Saccharomyces cerevisiae S288C: one gene and its partners. Changing the gene in region 1 together with any one later gene gives a genetic interaction. Each region holds a gene or a part of one and is shown in the gene's direction. Other genes may lie near its edges.

Region 1 (3,779 bases):
TTGATTTATGTATAACAGTGACAACTAGTCTATGCTTAGTCTCGGCCAGCATTGGAGGCGTCGGATTTCTTATTTGGCTCACCATTATATACCAAGCTCTGACTTAGGAAAATGTTGCCGATTTTGTTTTTGCCACTCCTGTACATTGTTTAATCTCAGATCGTTGTATATATATACATATATATAGTGTTTTAACGACATTCTTATATTTGCATTTCTGCTTCTTATTACACCTAACTATTCTGTAACTGCCATGGGTAAGCATTTTTGAAGTATTAATTAACAATTAAACTTTCAAACATACCCACCCTTTCGTTGGAATAAAAATCAATTAACACCCACTGACTAGTAAATATTACTAGAATAACTGATGATTATGCCAATTTTCTGACAGTTGTTGGGTTTCCATTGTTGACGAAGGTCCTATTATTAGATATACGGAACATACTAGATCTCTCGAGCCTATCGGAACCTACTAAGCGGAATCGGCAATATACATGTTATTCATTTTTTTCGTTTTTCGTTTTACATTATTAATTTTACGTCTCAACTTGGTTCAATTTCAGAGACAGCATCTCATCACATCTATCATCTTTTTGTACCACATAAGGTAATATACACGTAATAATAGGCAATAGATGTGTGCGAATGAACTTCCAATATAATCCATTTAGTAGTGCCTTTTGTTACTAATATTCGTCAGTTTCTCAAGCTGACACTTGATTTATTCTAAACAAATTTCAATCTTGGACAATTAGTTGACATAAACTACGTTACTAATTTTTGTTGTATTAAGGGCTTAAATAATACCGGATGTCTTGGCAATTCTATCGTTAGGAGAGTAATAGTTGTCAGACTTATTGTCGGCTTGTTCGCACATCGTTACTTATCCTATATTATACATAAGATCTGGTGAAGCGAGGAGTCCCATGTCTAAACCGATTGCTCAGGTATTTACAGGTTTAACTGCTTCATTTAAGCAAGCAATTATTGAATTATATACTCAATCTTGTCTCTCCCGTTACTATTATTTCATTCGCGTTTTATACATCTTTATTATTATAAGTTTGATACGGTAACTTTACAATCGATTAATTTCTGCTGAAAGCCCAAGCTTTCATAAATTAATAGGTTTCGTGGTCTAGTCGGTTATGGCATCTGCTTAACACGCAGAACGTCCCCAGTTCGATCCTGGGCGAAATCAATTTTTTGTTTTTTTAATTCACAAGAATAACCTGGTATTGTTATAAGCAAGCCACCCTTTGCGTACGATCAAACACCCTATAAAATCTATATGCAATACTGAGATATTGTATTTTTTCTCCTTTAATTGTTTATAGTTCAGAATAACAGTTCAAAAATCTATGCCGCGCTCACAGGGTCCTGCCGGGTATTCGCCCTCCAGCTTGAAAGGGGTGGCAATGCCCAAGAGCGATGTATAGTTTAGTATCAAGGAATTGAGAGAGGTATTACACCAAGGATTTCCGTGAACGAAGTGACGACGCAAGATTAACAGATTAAATTCTGGTAGTAGGCTAAGCCGTTATTAAACTTTATTTACGGTATACCACAATACTGCTCTTTTTGTTGAGGATATGACAGACAAAGGCAAGAACGATTTAACAAGCAAAGCTAAGGACAAAGCCAGAGGCAACCCCGAGAAGCCACCATATTGGTTTGAAATCATTGTTTCTGATCCACAAAAAAGAACTGGTGACCCAGGCTCTTCATCTGGCTACGTGAGTTATCAGATATCAACAAAGACTAACAACACGTCATTTTATGATAATCGTGGCGATCCAGAATCTATTATAGTTGTACATAGAAGATACAGTGACCTATTGCTCCTGCATGATATTTTACTCAACAGGTTCCCCACCTGCATCATCCCGCCATTACCTGATAAGAAAGTTTTTCAATACATAGCAGGCGATAGGTTTAGCCAAAGATTTACACAAAAGAGATGTCATAGTTTGCAAAATTTCCTAAGAAGGGTCTCTTTGCATCCCGATCTTTCTCAATCAAAAGTCTTCAAAACTTTTTTGGTGAGTAAAGATTGGGAATCTCACCGCAAAGTCCTCCAGGATAGCTTGCAACCAAATAAAGATGAAGTTACTGATGCTTTTATGAATGCCTTCAAAACAGTTCACAAGCAAAACGAAGAATTCACTGAGATAAGGGAGAAAAGTGATAAACTAGATCGGACTGTGACAAAGATAGATAAACTTTTTCATAAGGTTGTGAAAAAAAATGATTCGATGTCTGAAGACTATACAAAGTTGGGCAGTAATTTACAGGAATTACAAGAATTGGTCACAGGCGAAAACGAGGAACTTGCTGCGAAGTTGAAGATTTTTAATGAAGGTGTAACACAGCTGTCATATGGCTTGCAAGATCTTACAAAGTATCTGGATTACGAATATATTGTTGATTTGAAGGATCTTGAACACTACATTGATAGTATGCGACAGCTGATCAAATTGAAAGACCAGAAACAGATAGACTACGAAGAACTAAGTGATTATTTAACCAGGTCAATCAAAGAAAAAAATAACTTGATTTCTGGATACGGAGGTAGTAATTTCTTTGCCAATAAATTGGAAGAACTAGCGGGAATAAATCAGGAGGCTTCACGTAGAGAAAAAATCAATAAACTAGAAGGCAAAATAACGTCATTAACAGGTGAATTAGAAAACGCTAAAAAGGTGGCGGATGGATTCGAACAGGAATGCTTGAAGGAAATAGACCATTTCGAAAGTGTAAAAACGGCTGAAATCAAGAAATCTCTGGGCTCACTAGCGGACCATCATATCGAATTCTACGAAAGGATACTTGAAGCATGGGAAAAAGTAGACGATAGTCTATAGTGGTGCTCTTAATGTTTTCCCATTACTACTGATAATACCTTGGGCACTACGATTATCTGATCACATTTAACAGAGAAATTTAAAAAAAGAAAAATATCTATATAAAAATATGTAAATGTTGCTATTATTTTATGATGTTCTGATTTTTTTCGTCAAACCTTAGATTTCTTATGTACATTAAACTTAAACATTTTGCATTGTTCTTCCAGTTCTTGGATTATATTATCTTGGTGGGAGTCAATCAAATCCCAATCGACGCTATTACTGGACAAGTCAACTTTATTCGCAAAACAAGTCCTGTAATCATCACCAAAAGTCTCAATGAATGCTTCTTCATTAAGATACTTTGACCATTCCATAGGCGGAAACGTGTTTTTATCCAACACTCTGTCACTCTTGGACCGTGGCTTTGGCGCCCTTTCATTTTGTCTTACATAAAAGTATCTCAGCAGCATTATTGCTTCTTTCCTCAAGATCCCCGGTATACTCTCGTACCCTGCCGCACTATTGTTCTTGGGCACTAATGTACACGTATCATGATTTACTGACAAGACAGTACCGTTGCCTCCAAATCTCTCGTTGCCACAACCGAACACCACCTTTCCAATGTCTAATTGCTTGAGAGCAGATGCACACATTATACACGGTTCTACAGTAACATATAGAGTAATGTCTTTGAACACGTCAACAACTCCTCGGGAGCCCAACATCGCCTTGATCTGATCGATCCCCATGAACTCAGCATGTGCTACTCCAGTTAATGACTTGTTCGTATCGTTCATGCCATAAGCCATCACCTGGCCAGTTGGCGTATGTACAAAGATGCAAGCTACCGGTGTCTCATCGTGGTCAAGAGCGTATCTAGCCAAACGGACAGCTGTCCTCATATGTTTAATATGCTGCATAGTGTGA
Region 2 (5,073 bases), 330 kb from region 1:
GAAAATTTTATCGAATACTAACTGCCTATACTGTCTTATTGCCAGAGGGGTCAATCTGTTATAATATTCCTCCGGGACATTTATATGTTCGCGTATCTGGTAATCATATAAGTACACGTTCAACGATATTCTAAGTCGCGTAATATCTATTAGCTCGGATAAAGAAGTCAGGTCCAAGACATGAACTAAACTTGGAAAATCATGCTGACTATCTTTTGAGTCCAAGAAGTTAAAGTTCATAGCGTTTGAAATTACTTGATAGACCGACCTAACGAAGAATGACTCATGAACAATAAAAATCTTTTGTAAATAGAACTTGGTCTCTTTGGGTAACTTTGCAAACATTTTAATACCGTAAACCCAGCTTATTTTTCTCTGGGAAAACCCAGATGAAAAAATCACCAGTGAATATGGTGCCTGTGGCAATTTCATTACCAATCGATCCATGAGGGCATTAATAAGCAAGTCATAAACTTGCTTATCGCCAATTTCATCAGATGCTGGCAAATAAGTCGAATCAAAGACATAAATTGCGTGACCAGAGTTAGGATCAACTGAATAAGATCTAAAAAATATGTTATTAACGTTGATATCTATCATCCTGGCCTTCTTTCACGCTACCAATAGTATTATCCAGTAGGGCCATATCCTCGAGAATTTCACTTTCTATATACAAAATAACATCAACATGAAAAAACGCCAAAATACGTACGCCGTTAATAGTGATACATGTGCTCAATTACGGTGCATCATCAACCTTTACATACTTCTAGCTAACTTTGATTTTCATGAGGCTTATTTTTTACTTTTCTTTAACCTTGTCTCTCCCACAGCTCTAATTTTACGCTTTTTGCCCTTACTATCTCCTCCTTTTTGCTTACCTTGGTCGGATACTATCTTTTCTTCTTCATTTGTCGGCTTGATACTATCGAATAACTTAATACCAGTTTGTACTCTTCGCAGCCTCATCTGTTCTAAATCTAGAGAGCCTTCGAAGATTTCTGTGTCTTCAGGGATAGAAAATTTTGCCACTTGAGTAAATTTATCCCATGGAATGGCTGCAAATTGTATTTTGCACAACTCTACGAGCTTATCATGTTCCCGGTCTTTATCTTTCTCAAATTCCCAATACTGTGTTCTCTCAAAACAATTATCTAAAATGGTTCTCTTACTTTTCTTGATTTCTTGACCAGTAAAAGAATATACTCGCTTGTACTGGGCGACAAAATCAGTGAATGTCTTATGTAGCGGATGTGAGCTGTTCATAAAGTTTAATCTGGCTTCACCATCCTTTGAAATCATCTGTTCAACAATACTTTTATCCTTTGCATAGTAGCGTGCTGTCAATTTGATTACTTCCATGTCTCTTCGGGATATTCCAGTATCATATTGAGAGAACAGAAAATCCGGCGGCCTTGCTATCTCTCGCTCACTCTTTCTGTCATTATCTTCACCGCTGACAGTGTCTGTTGGCTCATTCATGAGTTTGGTGTAGTATTCATGGAGTGGGTCATCTTTCTTGATGAATGAGAATCTCTCATCTTCTAGCAGTTTGTTCTCAAACTCAACACCATGCTGCTTTATGTAATTTACTGTGGTTTTAATGTCCTCTTTCAGCTGGGTATCTTCTGGTTCCATTTATACAACTGCAAATTATTGCTGTTAGTTTTACGCTTTACCTTATTTCTTCCTGTATTTAAGTGTTTCAAGGCTAACTTTTGCCGAAATATTTCGTTGAAGGAAGGTTCTTATTTTATCAAAAAATGGTCAACAGACAAACAATAGAAAAACCAAAAGAAAACAAAAGCTTTTGAGGAAATCGGTAAAATGGATGATCTGCTAAAAGTTCCCGAGATTGTAACCAATATTGCCTCATATTTATCTACTGTAGATTATCTGAGTTTTCAACAAGTGAATAAACGGGTTTATGCAATCATTAACGGCAAAAATGATTCAAAGTATTGGTCATTGAAATTGACTAGAATGGGTCTCCAACAGGTGCATTCAAATGAAGAAGAAGAAATTACGTTGCTGGATGAAAATGATAATCAAAATTCCCTTCGCATCTTCGAAATATACAAATCTTTCACTGCTCAAAATTCTAAAAAAATCTTTGTGAAATTTTACCGTTGTTATAACTCATACGCTAGGAAGCTATATAATAATAATCTAGCAAATTTCTTTCCTACTTCATATTCCAACGATCCGTTGAAACAAACAAGAATTCTAAATTTTATCAAAAAGTACAATTTCTCGAATAAAAATGATATAGAAACATTTACTAGGATTGAAACTAATTTCAACATTCTTAGGGAAATCTTCATTAATTCTGTTCTCAAAGAGTCAGAATTGAATTACCAGTCTAATAATTTAGCTGCCGTCGCTCGTTTCATGAAAATTTTATTGATATCTAATGAGGAAAGCAATGCTATCGAATTTTTCAAGTCAAAGGCTGATTTGCCTCCCAGTTTAACGGTTTTGCCGTCTAATGATGAATTATTTTGGGCCGAACAACCAAGGGAAGAGGACAGCGGTGGGAGTACCGTGATATTTAATTCTAAAAATTTAGATACGTTTCTCAATCAGCTAAGGGATTTCCTCAACGAAAAGATTAAATTAGCGGACATTTTATTCAAAGATGAGTTCCCTGTAATATTACAGTTCATCGAGTCCTTTATCCAAGATATTTTATTAGATATTTTAAACAATATCTTATTAAGCTATAGTGAATTTTTAAAAGAAAATGGAAAGGATAGTAAAGCCAATTATGAATGCGTACCCGAACTTTATTTCACATTTATAAAAAAGTTTGATACTGAATTAAACGACTCAGTAAACGCAGGCGCAAATTTCCGTAAAGTTGTTCGTGACCTTTTAAACCTGTATCTCGAGCCCTTTGTTGTCAACTATATGAATCAGACAACTAGAGTATTTGAATCATTGATCAACTCACAATTAGCTAATTATGACACACAAGTTCAAGACAAGCAGCGTGAGCAAAACGCAAAAATTTATAACACTTTAAAAGATCAAACGGATGCTTCGAGTGCAAGTAACAATGAATTGCCGAATGACCTCTCAATAATTACTGAAACCTCCAAAACTGTCCCAGAAGCGGATTCAAAACCAAGTACGATCCATCAATCAGTTCATTCAACTGATATTTCTAATGATAAACTAGACTTTCTAAGTTCCTTCACCAAGATTTTCAAGTTCTCGAACAATGAAAATCAAAGGCTAAAGCAACAACTACAACTAGCCTACAACTTAAATTTAATTTCCAATAACTTGCAAAACATTAAATCGTTAATAAGTCTCGATTTATGTTACAAAATTTTACAGGAAACAAGCGAAAAGACGGATCAAATTTACAAATTTCATACGATTGAAAGTTTGCTACCATTGATCAAGCTACGCTGTCAAGAGATTTTCAAAATTTTAATTACACAATTGAATAAAAATCACGTTAAACCTGCATTTGAAAAGGCAATCCTGCTACTACAAAAATATAATCCTAACGAAATAGAACAAATAGAAATAAAATTCAATTCACTTTCGCCAGCCAATACTCAAGTCGAACCTTTAGTACAATTCACTGAACTTATCAATATAGGTGACATAATATTACAAATGATTTCCATTTTTTACAAGAACGAATTGATTCCCAAAAAAATTATCGATAAAAATAAAGATTTTCTTAATGATGTTATCCAATTAAAAAAAAATTTTGAGACTTCTATCGATGATTTTGTAGCCGAAGGTTTAAATATCGGTATAAACAAACTAATGGATGAAATCTCATTTGTATTCAAGACTCTTCAATTGCCTGACGATTATAATCCACCGCCACCCTCTAGGAATTCTCCAATAAGGGATATAAAGCCAACCAAATGTGCTATCAGGGTAGTCGAGTTACTTTCTAATCATTGCTTTCTACTGACTGGTGCCACAGACAAGGGTACTATTGACGTGTACCAACAAGAAATTGGCGAGAGATTCTTTAATGAAATCGTCAAACATCTGAAGAAGTGCTTCATATCTACGGAGGGCGCAATTTGGTTAATCTGCGATTTAAATTACTTTTACGATTTTATTGCTAACAAATTAAAACAAAAAAATGTTGTTCCCTATTTTGTTGGGCTTAAGTCTATTGGCCAGTTATACATCATTTCAGGCAAGGACTCGAAAGAGTTGGGAAAGCTTATTTCTGATCTTGGGAAATTCAATGGCATTTTTACGCAAGAGGAAATTTATGAATTTGTTCAGAGGAGAAGCGATTGGGTTCGTGTACGGAAAGACGTTGAAAAGGTAATGTACGGCCTAGGCATACGAGATTGCTGCATTATGTAAATTCCTATCAATGATTAATTATATTACTCTATATAGGTATGAAGTGCGGAAATAAAAGACTGTTCACATATTAGATTATTCAAGATTACGCGGGCTCTATTTTTCCCTGTTAGCCACACGCACACAAGGGGCATACAAATGTTCACTCCATTTATAAGAGGATTCCACACAAGATCATCGATAACATGGTTCAGTACGCTCCCTTTCTATTAGGAAAGTATGTTCATTCTTCATACGCTATTCTATTTTTTTTTTTTTCACACTTATTCTTTTACTAACGCATAGTTAACCATTTGCTGTTTCGAAGAGGCAACATCAAACAAGTCGATGTGCTCTTTCCCAAGCTGGTCTCTATTGCAGATTTTCTGATCCGTTATTGGCAATTATGGTAGGCTGTCTCAGCTACTATGTGTACGAAAGGAAAATGGGGCGTCCACAAGGTCATCATTTACACGAGCTCATAAAGAAGCGATGGGACGATCGCAAATAATAATCCGGCGTGAGGGGAGTATATATAAGTTTCTGGCGATATGTAAATACCATAATAATTAATCCTAGGATCTACCTTTATACGCATTTATCCTATAAAAACCCAATCTTTCAGATCCACAGTATTTTTATATGTGTGATTTCCTTGATTGTCTCAATTTAAAGAGTAATACATACAACTTAGACCAAAGAATTATTCAATAGATGACGCCGAAAGAATCTGGAAAGCCTATT
Region 3 (4,474 bases), on another chromosome or scaffold:
TTTGATGATATTGTTACGATTAGACGATAAGTTGGGAGAGAGCGTGACAGCGTATTTGAATGACGGAACAAAAGATCTTGATATTGAATCCTCACCGTACTTTGCGTCATGTCTGTTCCAATACCAGGATTCCATGGTACCATCAACATTAAGATTGACTTACAATCCACTAGATAATCACTTGTTAAAGTTGCAAATGGACAACAGAGTGTGTTTCCAGACAAGGAAAGTTAAATTTATGGGCAGCAGCCCATTTAGGATTGGAACAAGTGCTATCAACGATGCATCCAAAGAATCGTTTGAAATCTTGAAAATGAAGCTTTATGACGGAGTTATAGAGGATTCGCTAATTCCTAACGTGAATCCTATGGGACAACCCAGAGTGGTTACTAAAGTGATCAATTCTCAAACTGGTGAAGAGAGTTTCAGGGAAAAGATGCCATTTTCTGATAAGGAAGAAAGTATAACGAGTAACGAGCTTTTCGAAAAGATGAACAAGTTGGAGGGGAAAATCATGGCAAATGATATCGATCCATTACTCCGCAAGATGAACAAGATTGTGGAGAATGAACGTGAACTGATTCAACGTTTAAGACCACTGTTAGATCTGAAGAAAACAGCCATAAGTGACGATAGTTTCCAAGATTTTCTTTCGATGAACGCAAACCTGGACAGATTGATAAAAGAACAAGAAAAAATTCGACAAGATGCCAAGCTGTATGGCAAGCAGACCAAAGGTCATGATGAGATATTTTCCAAAATAAGTGTATGGTTGGCACTGCTGATTTTCATTATGATCACATTGGCGTACTACATGTTTAGAATTAACCAAGACATCAAGAAGGTCAAACTTCTGTAAGCTCTTGTGTCTTTGTTATATGGGTACAAGATATAAGAAACATAACTATTACATACGAAAATGTGCATGTTATCTATATCCTTCTTTATATAGATGCTGTTAACTTCTTTTTTTTTTTTTGGGAAAATCAACTGTTAAACGCGACAGTAAAAGCAGCAAAACATTAATTTTGCTTCCAAGACGACAGTAATATGTCTCCTACAATACCAGTTTCGCTGCAGAAGGCACATCTATTACATTTACTGAGCATAACGGGCTGTACTAATCCAAGGAGGTTTACGGACCAGGGGAACTTTCCAGATTCAGATCACAGCAATATAGGACTAGAAAATATCAGGTAGCCGCACTCAACTTGTAACTGGCAACTACTTTGCATCAAACTCCAATTAAATGCGGTAGAATCTTTTCACAAAAGGTACTCAACGTCAATTCGGAAAGCTTCCTTCCGGAATGGCTTAAGTAGGTTGCAATTTCTTTTTCTATTAGTAGCTAAAAATGGGTCACGTGATCTATATTCGAAAGGGGCGGTTGCCTCAGGAAGGCACCGGCGGTCTTTCGTCCGTGCGGAGATATCTGCGCCGTTCAGGGGTCCATGTGCCTTGGACGATATTAAGGCAGAAGGCAGTATCGGGGCGGATCACTCCGAACCGAGATTAGTTAAGCCCTTCCCATCTCAAGATGGGGAGCAAATGGCATTATACTCCTGCTAGAAAGTTAACTGTGCACATATTCTTAAATTATACAACATTCTGGAGAGCTATTGTTCAAAAAACAAACATTTCGCAGGCTAAAATGTGGAGATAGGATAAGTTTTGTAGACATATATAAACAATCAGTAATTGGATTGAAAATTTGGTGTTGTGAATTGCTCTTCATTATGCACCTTATTCAATTATCATCAAGAATAGTAATAGTTAAGTAAACACAAGATTAACATAATAAAAAAAATAATTCTTTCATAATGGCAGTTGAGGAGAACAATATGCCTGTTGTTTCACAGCAACCCCAAGCTGGTGAAGACGTGATCTCTTCACTCAGTAAAGATTCCCATTTAAGCGCACAATCTCAAAAGTATTCTAATGATGAATTGAAAGCCGGTGAGTCAGGGTCTGAAGGCTCCCAAAGTGTTCCTATAGAGATACCCAAGAAGCCCATGTCTGAATATGTTACCGTTTCCTTGCTTTGTTTGTGTGTTGCCTTCGGCGGCTTCATGTTTGGCTGGGATACCGGTACTATTTCTGGGTTTGTTGTCCAAACAGACTTTTTGAGAAGGTTTGGTATGAAACATAAGGATGGTACCCACTATTTGTCAAACGTCAGAACAGGTTTAATCGTCGCCATTTTCAATATTGGCTGTGCCTTTGGTGGTATTATACTTTCCAAAGGTGGAGATATGTATGGCCGTAAAAAGGGTCTTTCGATTGTCGTCTCGGTTTATATAGTTGGTATTATCATTCAAATTGCCTCTATCAACAAGTGGTACCAATATTTCATTGGTAGAATCATATCTGGTTTGGGTGTCGGCGGCATCGCCGTCTTATGTCCTATGTTGATCTCTGAAATTGCTCCAAAGCACTTGAGAGGCACACTAGTTTCTTGTTATCAGCTGATGATTACTGCAGGTATCTTTTTGGGCTACTGTACTAATTACGGTACAAAGAGCTATTCGAACTCAGTTCAATGGAGAGTTCCATTAGGGCTATGTTTCGCTTGGTCATTATTTATGATTGGCGCTTTGACGTTAGTTCCTGAATCCCCACGTTATTTATGTGAGGTGAATAAGGTAGAAGACGCCAAGCGTTCCATTGCTAAGTCTAACAAGGTGTCACCAGAGGATCCTGCCGTCCAGGCAGAGTTAGATCTGATCATGGCCGGTATAGAAGCTGAAAAACTGGCTGGCAATGCGTCCTGGGGGGAATTATTTTCCACCAAGACCAAAGTATTTCAACGTTTGTTGATGGGTGTGTTTGTTCAAATGTTCCAACAATTAACCGGTAACAATTATTTTTTCTACTACGGTACCGTTATTTTCAAGTCAGTTGGCCTGGATGATTCCTTTGAAACATCCATTGTCATTGGTGTAGTCAACTTTGCCTCCACTTTCTTTAGTTTGTGGACTGTCGAAAACTTGGGACATCGTAAATGTTTACTTTTGGGCGCTGCCACTATGATGGCTTGTATGGTCATCTACGCCTCTGTTGGTGTTACTAGATTATATCCTCACGGTAAAAGCCAGCCATCTTCTAAAGGTGCCGGTAACTGTATGATTGTCTTTACCTGTTTTTATATTTTCTGTTATGCCACAACCTGGGCGCCAGTTGCCTGGGTCATCACAGCAGAATCATTCCCACTGAGAGTCAAGTCGAAATGTATGGCGTTGGCCTCTGCTTCCAATTGGGTATGGGGGTTCTTGATTGCATTTTTCACCCCATTCATCACATCTGCCATTAACTTCTACTACGGTTATGTCTTCATGGGCTGTTTGGTTGCCATGTTTTTTTATGTCTTTTTCTTTGTTCCAGAAACTAAAGGCCTATCGTTAGAAGAAATTCAAGAATTATGGGAAGAAGGTGTTTTACCTTGGAAATCTGAAGGCTGGATTCCTTCATCCAGAAGAGGTAATAATTACGATTTAGAGGATTTACAACATGACGACAAACCGTGGTACAAGGCCATGCTAGAATAATGCGTTTGAAGTGAGACGCTCCATCATCTCTCTTAATTTTTCATGACTGACGTTTTTTCTTCATTTTAATTATCATAGTATTTGTTTGAAAAAAAAAAAAAAAAATTTCCCTTATCAATGATATCCTTACGATTATATAAATTCCTTACCTAAACCTATTATTTGTGTACATATATCAGAGTATTATTACATATATAACCTTTTTCTCTAAAACAGGAAAAAAAAAAGAAAACGATAACATGCTCTGCCATCCTTTGTTCACCGAGCAAAATTAAAAACGCAAAATGAATTGTCCCTATGAAATTATTAAAGGACCACATCACCAGACTTATCTCTGGGGGGTCCTCTAGAAAATAAGTCAGGTACTTGCCTGGACTTTCTTCCAGTTGAATTCCTGAGCTAACATACAATTAATGGAGTGAGAATGTTCGAACGATCCAGGAGTTGCTTTTTTCAGTCATTTGTTTATCAGTGTAACAAGCATTTCCTTTATTTCTTTTATATCAACCTGCAACCTATTAATATTCAATTCAACGTCTCGGAGCTTTTCTCGTACCGTTTTACCATCATCCATTTCCATGCTAACTAATTCTGAGATTACGATTACATATTGTCTCAGTTCTGGTTCATCAATGGCTGATAAAACTTTCATTACATTTTGGAAAAAATCTTCGTCATTTAGGTCTAAAGTCAGGATTTGGTTCCTTATAGACTCTCTACGATCTTTTTTCAAGTTTTTTTCTGAAGAAATATGTCCATTTTCATTAGTGACAGCGGTAGAGTCCTCTTCCGCTCGAACCAAACTATCACTGCCGGTGTTTTCCTCTCGAAAGGGTTTGTCTTTACCAATGGAAAGACGCCCGTCTTCTGCGCTTTCATATAATTTGACAGTGGCTATATTGAACTGTTCTTGCAAATCGCCAGTTTTG
Region 4 (3,320 bases), on another chromosome or scaffold:
TTTTTGGATACCTGTTTTAATAGAGATCTGATATATCTTTATCGGTGGTTTTATTAGTATAAGAGAGTAGAATGAAAGGTGAATGGATTAAAAACAGATCTCTAACTAATGGAGGTCCTATTTATATGTTTAGGAATAAGGGTGAAAAAGAACCGTTGTTATGAAATACCACTCAAGAACGTGCATAGATCCGCAAGGACATCTAAAACTCGCATATTACTTAATTTTGTGTTGCGAGCACGCTAAGTGCGAATACCTTACTGTTACGAGCACCCTATATTTTTGGACGCATAAGGGGGAGGGAATAACCATCGATCTTTCTAGAAATCAAGCAATGCTTGAAAAAGCACTTTCGTTGGTTGTGGATGTTCATGTAAAGACGGTTACTATTCCGATCCAACAATGCACCTTGACAGGCAAGGTTCTTTAGGGGTACACACGGAGTTAGGGGTACACACGGAGTTGCTGCTGCCCCAGTAACATCCCAGTGATTACCAAATGAAGACACATAACCAGATTATTTTGTGCCACATTGCCAAGAAGGTAAGAGAATTGTGGCTTACTGTAAGCTACAGGTTCAACGGTGCATGCAAGATGGCCGCGTTATTTTTTTGGGGTCCCCCCCTGAGGCTTATGAGAGAGACCCATAGTCTTGTTTTCAAGGAGCCAAATTGCCAAATGAAAAGAAAAGAAAGTTAAAAATTCAATTAAATTAAACTAGGAGTAATGTTAGTGTATGTAGTAAGAAAATGATTGATGTGCGCAGAATATTGAAACGGAGACTGAAAACATTCTATTGACGGATTCCGAGCGAGAATCACGTAAAGAAGGTTCTAGAAAAAACATAAAAAAATGAAAAAACAAAGTGAGGTTGGAACTAGTAGAGCCGTTTAGGGACTCTTAATTAACGAATTGTCCAACATCAACAACAAAGTGTGTCCTATGGTAGGTTATATTAAAAAAAGTCCAACGATGTCCTTCTACTGGAACCCATATCCAGGTTGTCCAAATTTGATTCGTGCAATGTTTCGATAGACGCTGTCCTTGAGGAGGAGTCGTTTGAACAGAAGACAAAGAGAGCTTTAGAATCATCGATTGCTATTGTGTTGTTAATTTTGAAAGCGTCTGTTTTATCCATCTCTTCAATATCTTCGTACAACAAATCGTGAATGGAATAGTCATTATCTTGGGAAAATATGGAAGAGATCGAGCTCTTGGTGGAGGAAAGACTGGCGTCTGATTCGCTCCTCGTTGACTGCGTTGGTGATGGAGCCATCCGCAGCTTTTCTTCCTTTGCAGCGTTTGTTTGCATGTGCCTCATGGCCGAGTGGTAGTCTTTAAGCAGTGTTTCGTCCAGTAACAAGCTGCTCCTTTTTAACTTTGACTGACTAGATGTGCTTCTCTTATTCGTAGGAGACAGGAATTGAGAAGGAGCTGTGCCCTCCTCCTTTTTCTGCTTCGTCTTGGAGTGTCCATGGCCAAATTCGCTAGTCAGCGAGATTAGCGAACTTTTGGATCCTAAATGCATGGATTGTCTTTTCTTGGTGTCTGCGTTTGTGTTAGTGCTGGAATTTTTAGAGCGTCTTAGCATTTTACGTATTTTGTCTTTTTGTGCCGTCACAATATATAGTTGGTATGTTCTTTATCGTCGTATATTTCTCGTGCCGAGCTTGCGCCTTCTTTAACAATAAACCAAACGAATATTGAGGCTTCTTTATAACAGTTTGGCAAATAGTCAAGAATATAATGAGCAGCCAAGCGCGAAATTATGAATTCTATTAATATCCGCACTAGTGAATTCGAATACTTCCTTTACAGGTCATTTTCTCCTATTGCTCCAATTTACACTGCTGTGCTTTTTTTTTTAATTACGCGCATTAGGTAATTTTACCCCTACGCGAAAGTTAGTCGTAATTTCGTGTTTCTTTTTTTACGTGTTCTGTCTGTCCAGAAGCAAAAATGTTCTTAGCGAAGCCATCCTAATATTTCATGTACAAGGGCCCGCAATAACTGTAATCGGCGGTTTATTATTGTATCAGGAAAGTCGAAAGAAGTGACTTGAAGATCATGAAAACGGCCTACTTGGCGTCATTGGTGCTCATCGTATCGACAGCATATGTTATTAGGTTGATAGCGATTCTGCCTTTTTTCCACACTCAAGCAGGTACAGAAAAGGATACGAAAGATGGAGTTAACCTACTGAAAATACGAAAATCGTCAAAGAAACCGCTCAAGATTTTTGTATTCTTAGGATCGGGAGGTCATACTGGTGAAATGATCCGTCTTCTAGAAAATTACCAGGATCTTTTACTGGGTAAGTCGATTGTGTACTTGGGTTATTCTGATGAGGCTTCCAGGCAAAGATTCGCCCACTTTATAAAAAAATTTGGTCATTGCAAAGTAAAATACTATGAATTCATGAAAGCTAGGGAAGTTAAAGCGACTCTCCTACAAAGTGTAAAGACCATCATTGGAACGTTGGTACAATCTTTTGTGCACGTGGTTAGAATCAGATTTGCTATGTGTGGTTCCCCTCATCTGTTTTTATTGAATGGGCCTGGAACATGCTGTATAATATCCTTTTGGTTGAAAATTATGGAACTTCTTTTGCCCCTGTTGGGTTCCTCCCATATAGTTTATGTAGAATCGCTGGCAAGGATTAATACTCCTAGTCTGACCGGAAAAATATTATATTGGGTAGTGGATGAATTCATTGTCCAGTGGCAAGAATTGAGGGACAATTATTTACCAAGATCCAAGTGGTTCGGCATCCTTGTTTAAGTAAACCATTTATGTAGGATAGTAAAACTTCCAACTATTTTTGAAGTCTTATGGTGGCACCGCACCTTCTTTGATGCTTAAAATTTCCAGGATTGCTTCACAAAATATAAACAATCCGGCCAACGCATTAAAACTACCACTGCTAACCAGAAAGTAAATCAGTAAATCACTTACTTACAATTACTACGTATACAAAGCAAACAATCACATTTCATGTCTGCATAATTGCACAGTGTATGCATAATGCATTACGGCACCAAATTTGGTGTGTAAAGGATAATGCGACACCGGTCTTAGAGATTTTTGCACGAGGATTATTGCCGTACGGCTATTTGGTGTCGTCTCACTCTTCGCCGCGCCGGGACGGCCAAAAATACAAAAAAGGTCAGTCAGGGCCGGCAACCCGATGAGGAAAGGGCCCTTCCAGTAAACTTCACATTATCTTGACAAGGCATTTTTTTTCAAAAAAAGTGCATTTTGATGGACAAAAAGAAAAGAAAACCTCCAGGTTATATTCTTTAACTTGACAGTGTCTGAAC

What was found.
Region 2: of SNX4 (region 1) and RCY1, changing one enhances a phenotype caused by changing the other (phenotypic enhancement), as found in Saccharomyces cerevisiae (3 studies listed by BioGRID, with this or other methods).
Region 3: mutations in SNX4 (region 1) and GAL2 together harm fitness more than expected from each alone (negative genetic interaction), as found in Saccharomyces cerevisiae (2 studies listed by BioGRID).
Region 4: mutations in SNX4 (region 1) and ALG14 together harm fitness more than expected from each alone (negative genetic interaction), as found in Saccharomyces cerevisiae (2 studies listed by BioGRID).

What each region holds. Positions count from the first base shown.
Region 1 is NC_001142.9:377,230-381,008, forward strand, and holds SNX4 (Snx4p), read left to right. Parts: upstream 1-1,595; coding exon 1,596-2,867; downstream 2,868-3,779. Other genes in the region: IRC18 (Irc18p), read left to right, coding at 1-107; TAD2 (tRNA(adenine34) deaminase), read right to left, coding at 3,020-3,772. UniProt on the Saccharomyces cerevisiae protein: Sorting nexin, involved in the separation or division of vacuoles throughout the entire life cycle of the cells.
Region 2 is NC_001142.9:49,906-54,978, reverse strand, and holds RCY1 (Rcy1p), read left to right. Parts: upstream 1-1,827; coding exon 1,828-4,350; downstream 4,351-5,073. Other genes in the region: ECM25 (Ecm25p), read right to left, coding at 1-600; PRP21 (Prp21p), read right to left, coding at 796-1,638; NCE101 (Nce101p), read left to right, coding at 4,536-4,567, 4,711-4,840; YJL206C (uncharacterized protein), read left to right, coding at 5,044-5,073. UniProt on the Saccharomyces cerevisiae protein: Involved in recycling plasma membrane proteins internalized by endocytosis. Required for recycling of the v-SNARE SNC1.
Region 3 is NC_001144.5:288,392-292,865, forward strand, and holds GAL2 (galactose permease GAL2), read left to right. Parts: upstream 1-1,820; coding exon 1,821-3,545; downstream 3,546-4,474. Other genes in the region: EMP46 (Emp46p), read left to right, coding at 1-859; SRL2 (Srl2p), read right to left, coding at 4,003-4,474. UniProt on the Saccharomyces cerevisiae protein: GAL2 is a facilitated diffusion transporter required for both the high-affinity galactokinase-dependent and low-affinity galactokinase-independent galactose transport processes.
Region 4 is NC_001134.8:378,682-382,001, reverse strand, and holds ALG14 (N-acetylglucosaminyldiphosphodolichol N-acetylglucosaminyltransferase anchoring subunit ALG14), read left to right. Parts: upstream 1-2,067; coding exon 2,068-2,781; downstream 2,782-3,320. Other genes in the region: YBR071W (uncharacterized protein), read right to left, coding at 956-1,591. UniProt on the Saccharomyces cerevisiae protein: Involved in protein N-glycosylation. Essential for the second step of the dolichol-linked oligosaccharide pathway. Anchors the catalytic subunit ALG13 to the ER.